2 linked regions of the Callithrix jacchus genome follow. The protein of the gene in region 2 interacts with the protein of the main gene of each other region in a biochemical or structural test. Links are inferred from orthologs where the notes say so. Each region holds a gene or a part of one and is shown on either strand. Other genes may lie near its edges.

Region 1 (3,650 bases), on a different chromosome or scaffold from region 2:
AAAAGGGGGTAAAAAGGAAGTTCTCCTAATGAAGAGTCAGGGTACTGGCTGCACTTGCCCAAGCTAGAAATTAGAGGGCTACTACTCAATTATAACATAAAGAAAGGGGAAAATGCCATGTCAAATACATGCCTCTTCCTTTATGTTCTCAAGGCCAACCATGTTCTTCTCTAGTAGACTGTTTGGAAATGAAAATGGTAAGGGACAGGGAAGGAAAGGTAAAACATGATTTTTAAACACACACACTTAAAAACACACATAACCACACTTACATACACACTTAAAATTCTGACACTTCAAGTGGCCTGAGCCTATTTCAGAACTCCTAGCCAAAAACCTACCCTCCCACCCACCCTCACACATTCCCACCCTCCAATCCCACCCACCAGGAGTCACTGCTATGTATTGCATACACACAGCAAAATCCCTATCCCCTTCCCAATTATATAAAAAAACTAAACAGATAACTTACTTTAAATTATTTTTTTTAAGTCTCTTAAAAAGATTTTGATGTTTAAATACTTCCTCTCTTCTGATATATTAAACACCAAAAGGATCCATAATTGTCTGATAAAACAATTTTTCGGCTCTGGCAAGAAGAGGGAAGATACTCCAATCAACCTAATTAGACGGTGGAGAGGCCAATAATTCAGAAAGTGTTCTTAATCCTTCACAGCTTCAATACCTCTCTAATACCAGTTAAAAACTGTAAGAAAATAGTTAAATGCATGAGGCAGCAGATATAATAGCCAAGGCCTTCTACTACCCTCCCACCTATGTCTCAATACCAATTTACTCCCTAGTCCATGAAGGGTAACATATTTCATAAGTAATTTTCTTAGTCCAAATCAGTAGTCAAAAAAAAAAAAAAAAGAAAGAAAAGAAAAAGAAAAAAGTATATATATTTTTTTTTTAAAGAAGTTTTTTTTCTCCTCCTGTTTTTCTTTTTTACTTAGGAAGGGGCGGAAGCGGTGGAGGAGGTTCTGATGGCAGAGGTGGTGGCCGGGGTTTGTCTGTATTTCCAGATCTCGAGGAAGAGATTCCACCAGCCCGAGGATTCAGATATTCGCTATAAGGACGAACAAATTCAAATGCAGTGGGCTGAGTGGGCTGAACACCTTGGGCACTGAGCAGGGAGTGAAGCATATTCACAGTATCTTGATAGTCTATTGTCTGGGTCGTGTTATGACCATTGGCCCCAGTGGCCCCTTTATCCAGTTTCGAATGAGAGACTCGAGTTTTACAGCTGGGCTGTGAAAAGGAAAGGCCACTTGTGTCTGAGCTATGCCCAGGCATCTGAGCCATTGCAGGAAGTGAAGGGAAGGAGAAATTTAGGGAAGAGGATTTACTACTCTTGGCAATCTTGGTTGGATGATCAAACACTGCCCCTCCAGTCTCTTCAGAGGGTCCCCTTTTACGAGTAGTACTGGAAGAGGAAAAAGAACTAGACAAGCTATAGGTTTTATGTGCTAAGTTGCTTGTCTGGCTACTATGTTTTGGATCACCTGGACGTTTGTTCCCTGTACTAACTGGAAGTTGTGAATGAGAGTGCTTGTGTGAGTGGTGATTATGATGATGATGGTGATTAGATGGGTGAGTCTTATGCTTTTCTTTGTGCTCTCGGCTCTTTGTAACACTGTCCTCTACAGAATTGTGCTTATCAGCTGCAGCATGGACTTTTATGCGCATTTTTATCTCCTCTGGTTTTGAAGAGGCAGCCTTATCTCCACCTGCCACTGGAATTCTCATTTTGAGAGCTGTTTTGTCAGCCTTTTCCAGAAAAGACCGCTCGGGGTTTTCTGAACCCTCTAAGGGCATTTTTAGAATGACTGAAGAATGGCTATCATGATGAGAAAGGAGATTCTGGGCAGCATATGCATACTGTGACTTCACATTGGCTTCCATGTTCTCCAGTTGCTTCTTTTGAGCAGCCAACTCTTCTGCATGCTTTGCACGGTATTCTTTCAGTGACACTTTAGCTGACGGCACACTCTTACTACTCTGCTTCTGGGAAATAAATGCATTTGAACCATCCTGTGGTAAGGAATGATCAACTCCTATAAGTGCTAAATTGTCACTAGTCCGATGACCCTGAGTAGGTTCTAGTTTGAAAGAAGGTTGGGAGGACAGCCAACGCTCTCCAGGCAACATCTCCACACTGGCTAAGTTGCTGGATGATTCTTCGGAGACTGGGAGGGAAGGCACTGCATTTGTGGTAGAAGAAGTTGACATGCTCATTAAACCTGCAATGGTTGTGTCTGAAGAGCTCTGGGAAATCATATTGAGGATTCTCTGCTCTGAAGTATTTTCATCTGTTCCTCGGTCATCTGCTTTTGTTTTCTGGGCAGCCTGGCATGCCTGGAATGAAGCAAATAGCGTCTCTTCACTTCAGGTAATTTATTAAATAAAAAAACACTGCGATGAGTAAATTGTACTGGCAGCAACACTGGAAGTTCTGGATAGACCACAGGCAGGAGACTTTCCTAACATGAAATCCAGTAAACATTACCATCAAAAGAATATTTCAAAACCTTCACTTGCCAGGCGCAGTGGCTCACACCTGTAATCACAGCACTTTGGGAGGCCGAGATGGGTGGATCACGAGGTCAAGATATCAAGACCATCCTGGCCAACATGGTAAAACCCCATCTCTACTAAAAAACACAAAAATTAGCTGGGTGTGGTGGCACACGCCTGTAGTACCAGCTACTCAGGAGGCTGAGGCAGAAGAATTGCTTGAACCCAGGAAGCGGAAATTACAGTGAGCCAAGACTGCACCATTGTACTCCAGCCTGGAGCCTGGAGACAGAGCAAGACTCTGTCTCAAAAAAAAAAAGCTTAAAAACCTTCAATTAAGAGTCACAGCAATGGCCGGGCGTAGTGGCTCACGCCTGTAATCCCAACACTTTGGGAGGCCAAGAAGGGTGGATCACAAGGCCAGGAGATCGAGACCATCCTGGGCCAACATGGCAAAACCCCGTCTCTACTAAAAATGTAAAAAAACAATAGCTGGACGTGGTGGCAAACACCTGTAATCCCAGCTATTCAGAAGACTGAGGAAGGAGAACTGCTTTAACCTGGGAGGCAGAGGTTGCAGTGAGCCGAGATTGCGCCACTGCACTCCAGCTTGGCAACAGAGCAAGACTCCGTCTCAAAAAAAAAAGTCACATACATGAAATCTATGCCTTCTGCTTATGATTATAGTCAGTCCATAACAGAATTCTAGAAATTTTGGTGATATTTTATGCTAAAGTAAAAGATGAACTATGTGATCTCAAGCCTACTTCTTTTTGTTGTTGTTTTTGGGTTTTTTTTTTTTTTTGAGACAGAGTCTCACTCTGTCACCCATGCTAGAGTGCAGTGGTGCAATCTCAGCTCACTGCAACCTCCGCCTCCTGGGTTCAAGTGATTCTCCTGTCTCAGCCTCCTGAGTAGCAGAGATTACAGGTGCCCACCACCACGTCCGCTAATTTTTTGTATTTTTGGTAGAGATGGGGTTTCACCATGTTGGCCAGGCTGGTCTCAAACTCCTGACTTCAGGTGATCTGCCCACCTTGGCCTCCCAAAGTGCTGGGACTACAAGCATGAGCCACCATGCCTGGCCTCTCAAGCCTACTTCTAATCCGAAGCTTCTAAGAGGCAAACTCATT
Region 2 (3,750 bases):
TTTTCCCAGAAAAAGAAAGAAATCTTAATCTTTATGTGAAATCTCCCTCACAAGCATTGGCAACTAATTTAAAAAGCCAACTTAAGTTTTTATACATCAAATAAGAGATCTATAAACACTTTATCATCTGTTTACTGGTTTCTGACTGCTACCTACTAAAGTCAATTCCAAAAAAGCAAAGATTTCCTACCAGACACCGGGGAAGTGGAACACAGTAGCAGATGCAAACGCTGATTTGTTCAACAAATGAATAAAACAAAAGCAAGTTTAAAAAGAGGAGGCCGGGCACGGTGGCTCACGCCTATAATCCCAGCACTTTGGGAGGCTGAGGCGGGTGGATCACGAGGTCAAGAGATCGAGACCATCCTGGTCATCAAGGTGAAACCCCACCTCTACTAAATACACAAAAATTAGCTGGGCATGGTGGCACGCACCTGTAGTCCCAGCTACTCAGGAGGCTGAGGCAGGAGAATGGCTTGAACCCAACAGGCGGAGGTTGCGGTGAGCCGAGATCGTGCCATTGCACTCCAGCCTGGGTAACAAGAGTGGAAACTGCCTCTCAAAAAACAAAAGAAAAAAAAAAAAGAGGATAATGGGCCTGGCACAGGGGCTCACGCCTATAATCTCAGCACCTGGGAGGCCCAGGAGGGTGGATCACCTGAGGTAAGGAGTTCGAGACCAGACTGGCCAACATGGCAAAACCCCATCTCTACTAAAAATACAAAAATGAGCCAAACATGGTGGCATGCACCTGTAATACCAGCTACTCAGGAGGCTGAGGTTGCAGTGAGCCAAGATCATGCCACTGCACTCCAGCCTGTGCAACAGAGCAAGATGTTGTCTCAAAAAAACACAAAAAGGATAATGGGCAATAAAAGAACATTTCAAATCAGAAACACCCCAGGAAATGATTGTTTTTTGGTTCCTGAAACTGAGGTACTCAACAGATCCAAAGCCAGAGTGATCCTTTCAAAACATGATCCCATCTTCTACCTGCTCACTTTTTCATGGTTGCATTTTGCTCAGTTAAGGCCAAATTCCTTACCACAGCCTTCAAGATCCTATATGACCTGGCTCCCATAAATTCCTTGTTGCACTCACTCTGTTCCAACCAAACTGGAACCCCTTTTTTGTGGGGGGAGGTGGGGAGACAGAGTCTCACTCTGTCACCCAGGCTGCAGTGCAGTGGCACCATCGCAGCTCACTGCACCTTCACCTGCTGGCTCAAGCGATCTTCCCATCTCAGCTTCCAGAGTAGCTGGGACTACAGGAACGTGCCACCATGCTCAGCTAATTTTTTTTTTTTTTTTTTTTTTTGAGACGGAGTTCCGCTCTTGTTACCCAGGCTGGAGTGCAATGGCGCGATCTCAGCTCACCACAACCTCCGCCTCCTGGGTTCAGGCAATTCTCCTGCCTCAGCCTCCTGAGTAGCTGGGACTACAGGCATGCGCCACCATGCCCAGCTAATTTTTTGTATTTTTTTTTTTTTTTTTAGTAGAGACGGGGTTTCACCATGTTGACCAGGATGATCTCGATCTCTTGACATCGTGATCCACCCGCCTCGGCCTCCCAAAGTGCTGGGATTACAGGCTTGAGCTGCCACACCCAGTCTCAGCTAATTTTTTTTTCTTTTTTCTTTTTTTGTCTTCAGTGGTTGGCTATCGGCTAATTTTTTTATATTTTTGTAGAGACAGGGTCCCACTATATTGCCCAGATTGCCCTCGAAATTCTAGGCTCACGTCCTCCCATCTAGGCCTCTCAAATCCTCGTTAATCCTTGAACACAGCAAACACAGTGCCATCTTTCCACCTGCTGGTCCCCCTCACTGGAACACTCCACTTCCAGCTAACCACAACCCACTCCCTCAATCATTGTTCAAATGTCACCCTTCAGACTCAGGTTGATGACCCTATTTCAAGTGCAACCAGGACTCTCCACTCCCCTTCTCTATTCTCCCTTTCTCCAGAGTATCTTCCAGCTTACTATATGGTGTATTTATTGGCTATGTTTATTTACATTCTCGAAGCCAGAAATTTTTTAAATCTGCTTTGTTTACTGGTGTACCCCAAGGGCAAAGAATTGCGCCTGGTATATAGCAGGCACTACAAATTTATTTCTGGAATGACTAGACGTAACTAAAAAAAATAACTAATGCTAAGTGCTTACTATATACACACAGAGTAAACTTTAAAAACATCACCTGTTATCTCACTGGACCTGGCTCATCTCTGGCCTCCAGAACCTGTCCCTTTGCTTGACTTCAACTTGCGTACTTCTCTGCCTCTTACAACAATCTGGGATCTCCCAGAAGCCAGAGCTCGCTGTGAACCCCTCGAGCCTCCCACAAGGGACTTTCTGCCCCGAGTCCTGTCCCCAGGCGCAGTATCTCCCCCAGCGCCCCTGCCACAGACCTCGGCCTCCTCGCCGTCACTACTGCGCTCGCTGTCCTCCTCCTCGGAGAAGTTGCTGTCCTCGCTGTCCGACATCTTCCGCTGCTGCGGGAAAAGACGGCCGCCTCAGCGTGTCCCACAATCCTGAGCGCCACCTCGAGCCTCAGTTTCCCCGCTGGTTCCCTGGGAGAAGAAAACCCCTTAGCGCACTTCCGGCAGCCTCGTTTTGGCAATCGTGAACTGGAGTGCGGACCCCCTCCTACGCCACATGTTAGACCTTCCTAGTTTACGAATCCGCTCCCTACACCTACCCGGCCCCCGGCTGCCCCCGGAACTGCCACCTCTGCACCTACACTTAACCGCTCCGACTCCACCTACGACTTAGATACCAGCTGCAGTTCGCACGACGCCTTGCTGGGGCTGACGGGTCCTCTCGCGAGAACCCATCCATTGGCCTCACCTAACGCGAGATTTCCGGGGCTGGCCCGGACGACTCACTTCTGGGTCGCCATCATAAGAGAGGCAGGGCTGGCTTAGGCAGAGTTCGCGGCCGACATCTGTGGAGGGTCATGCGAGGAAAAGTATTTTTACCCTGCCGTCTCGGCCTTTTCCAGGCTGGAACTCGTGTTTGAATTGAGTGAGCCGTTTGTTCGATAGTCCAGGCCACTAGCGCGATATGCCAAGCCGCGAGGAGGCGGGGAATCGGCGAACAGCAAATTAGAAAAGAAACCAGGCTTATATCCTAGGCCCTCTAAAGCATCCCCAGGAGATAAGTATCCCTATTTTGCAGAGAACGCTAAAGCTCAGTGGAAAGCAGCAGACTCAAGCCTCCTCGCCAAGTCTAAGTGACCGTGAAGCCCTTGTTTTCTTTTTCTTTCTTCTTATTTTTTGTAGTGTTGGGGTCTCACTATGTTGCCCGGGCTGGTCTGAAACTCCTGGGCTCAAGCCATCCTCCGGCCTCGGCTTCCCAAAGTGCTGAGATTACAGGCGTTACCTGGCGCGCCGACCCAAGCCCCCATTTTTTTTTCCAGGCTCCCTACGTTCAGTTAAAGGAGAATTTATTTATTAGTAATGACGGCTGACGAGTGGTGGCAGAAAGGACAGGTGTAAGGGAGAGATGAAAAATGAAGCTGAAAATCAACAGGAAGAATTTTTAACAAAAAAAGAGAAAAATGAACCTTCGCCTGTAAACCCAGCGCTTTGGGAGGCTGAGGCAGGAGGATCACGAGGTCAGGAGTTCAAGACCAGCCGGGCCAAGACGCTGAAACTAAAAATAGAAAAGTTAGCCAGGTGTGGTGGTGGACACCTGTAATCCCAGCTACTGGGAAGGTGAGGCAGAAAATTGCTTGAACCCAGGAGA

What was found. The genes of interacting proteins can lie anywhere in the genome.
Region 1: the proteins of SUPT5H (region 2) and CCNT1 form a complex in vitro, tested with the Homo sapiens proteins (2 studies listed by BioGRID, with this or other methods). The link is inferred for Callithrix jacchus from reciprocal best matches to the Homo sapiens genes SUPT5H and CCNT1.

What each region holds. Positions count from the first base shown.
Region 1 is NC_133510.1:70,881,553-70,885,202, reverse strand, and holds part of CCNT1 (cyclin-T1), read right to left. Parts: intron 2,359-3,650; coding exon 949-2,358; 3' UTR 1-948. UniProt on the Homo sapiens protein: Regulatory subunit of the cyclin-dependent kinase pair (CDK9/cyclin-T1) complex, also called positive transcription elongation factor B (P-TEFb), which facilitates the transition from abortive to productive elongation by phosphorylating the CTD (C-terminal domain) of the large subunit of RNA polymerase II (RNA Pol II).
Region 2 is NC_133523.1:34,929,859-34,933,608, reverse strand, and holds the start of SUPT5H (transcription elongation factor SPT5), read right to left. Parts: upstream 2,813-3,750; 5' UTR 2,744-2,812; exon of another isoform or gene 2,702-2,743; intron 2,574-2,701; 5' UTR 2,487-2,573; coding exon 2,412-2,486; intron 1-2,411. UniProt on the Homo sapiens protein: Component of the DRB sensitivity-inducing factor complex (DSIF complex), which regulates mRNA processing and transcription elongation by RNA polymerase II.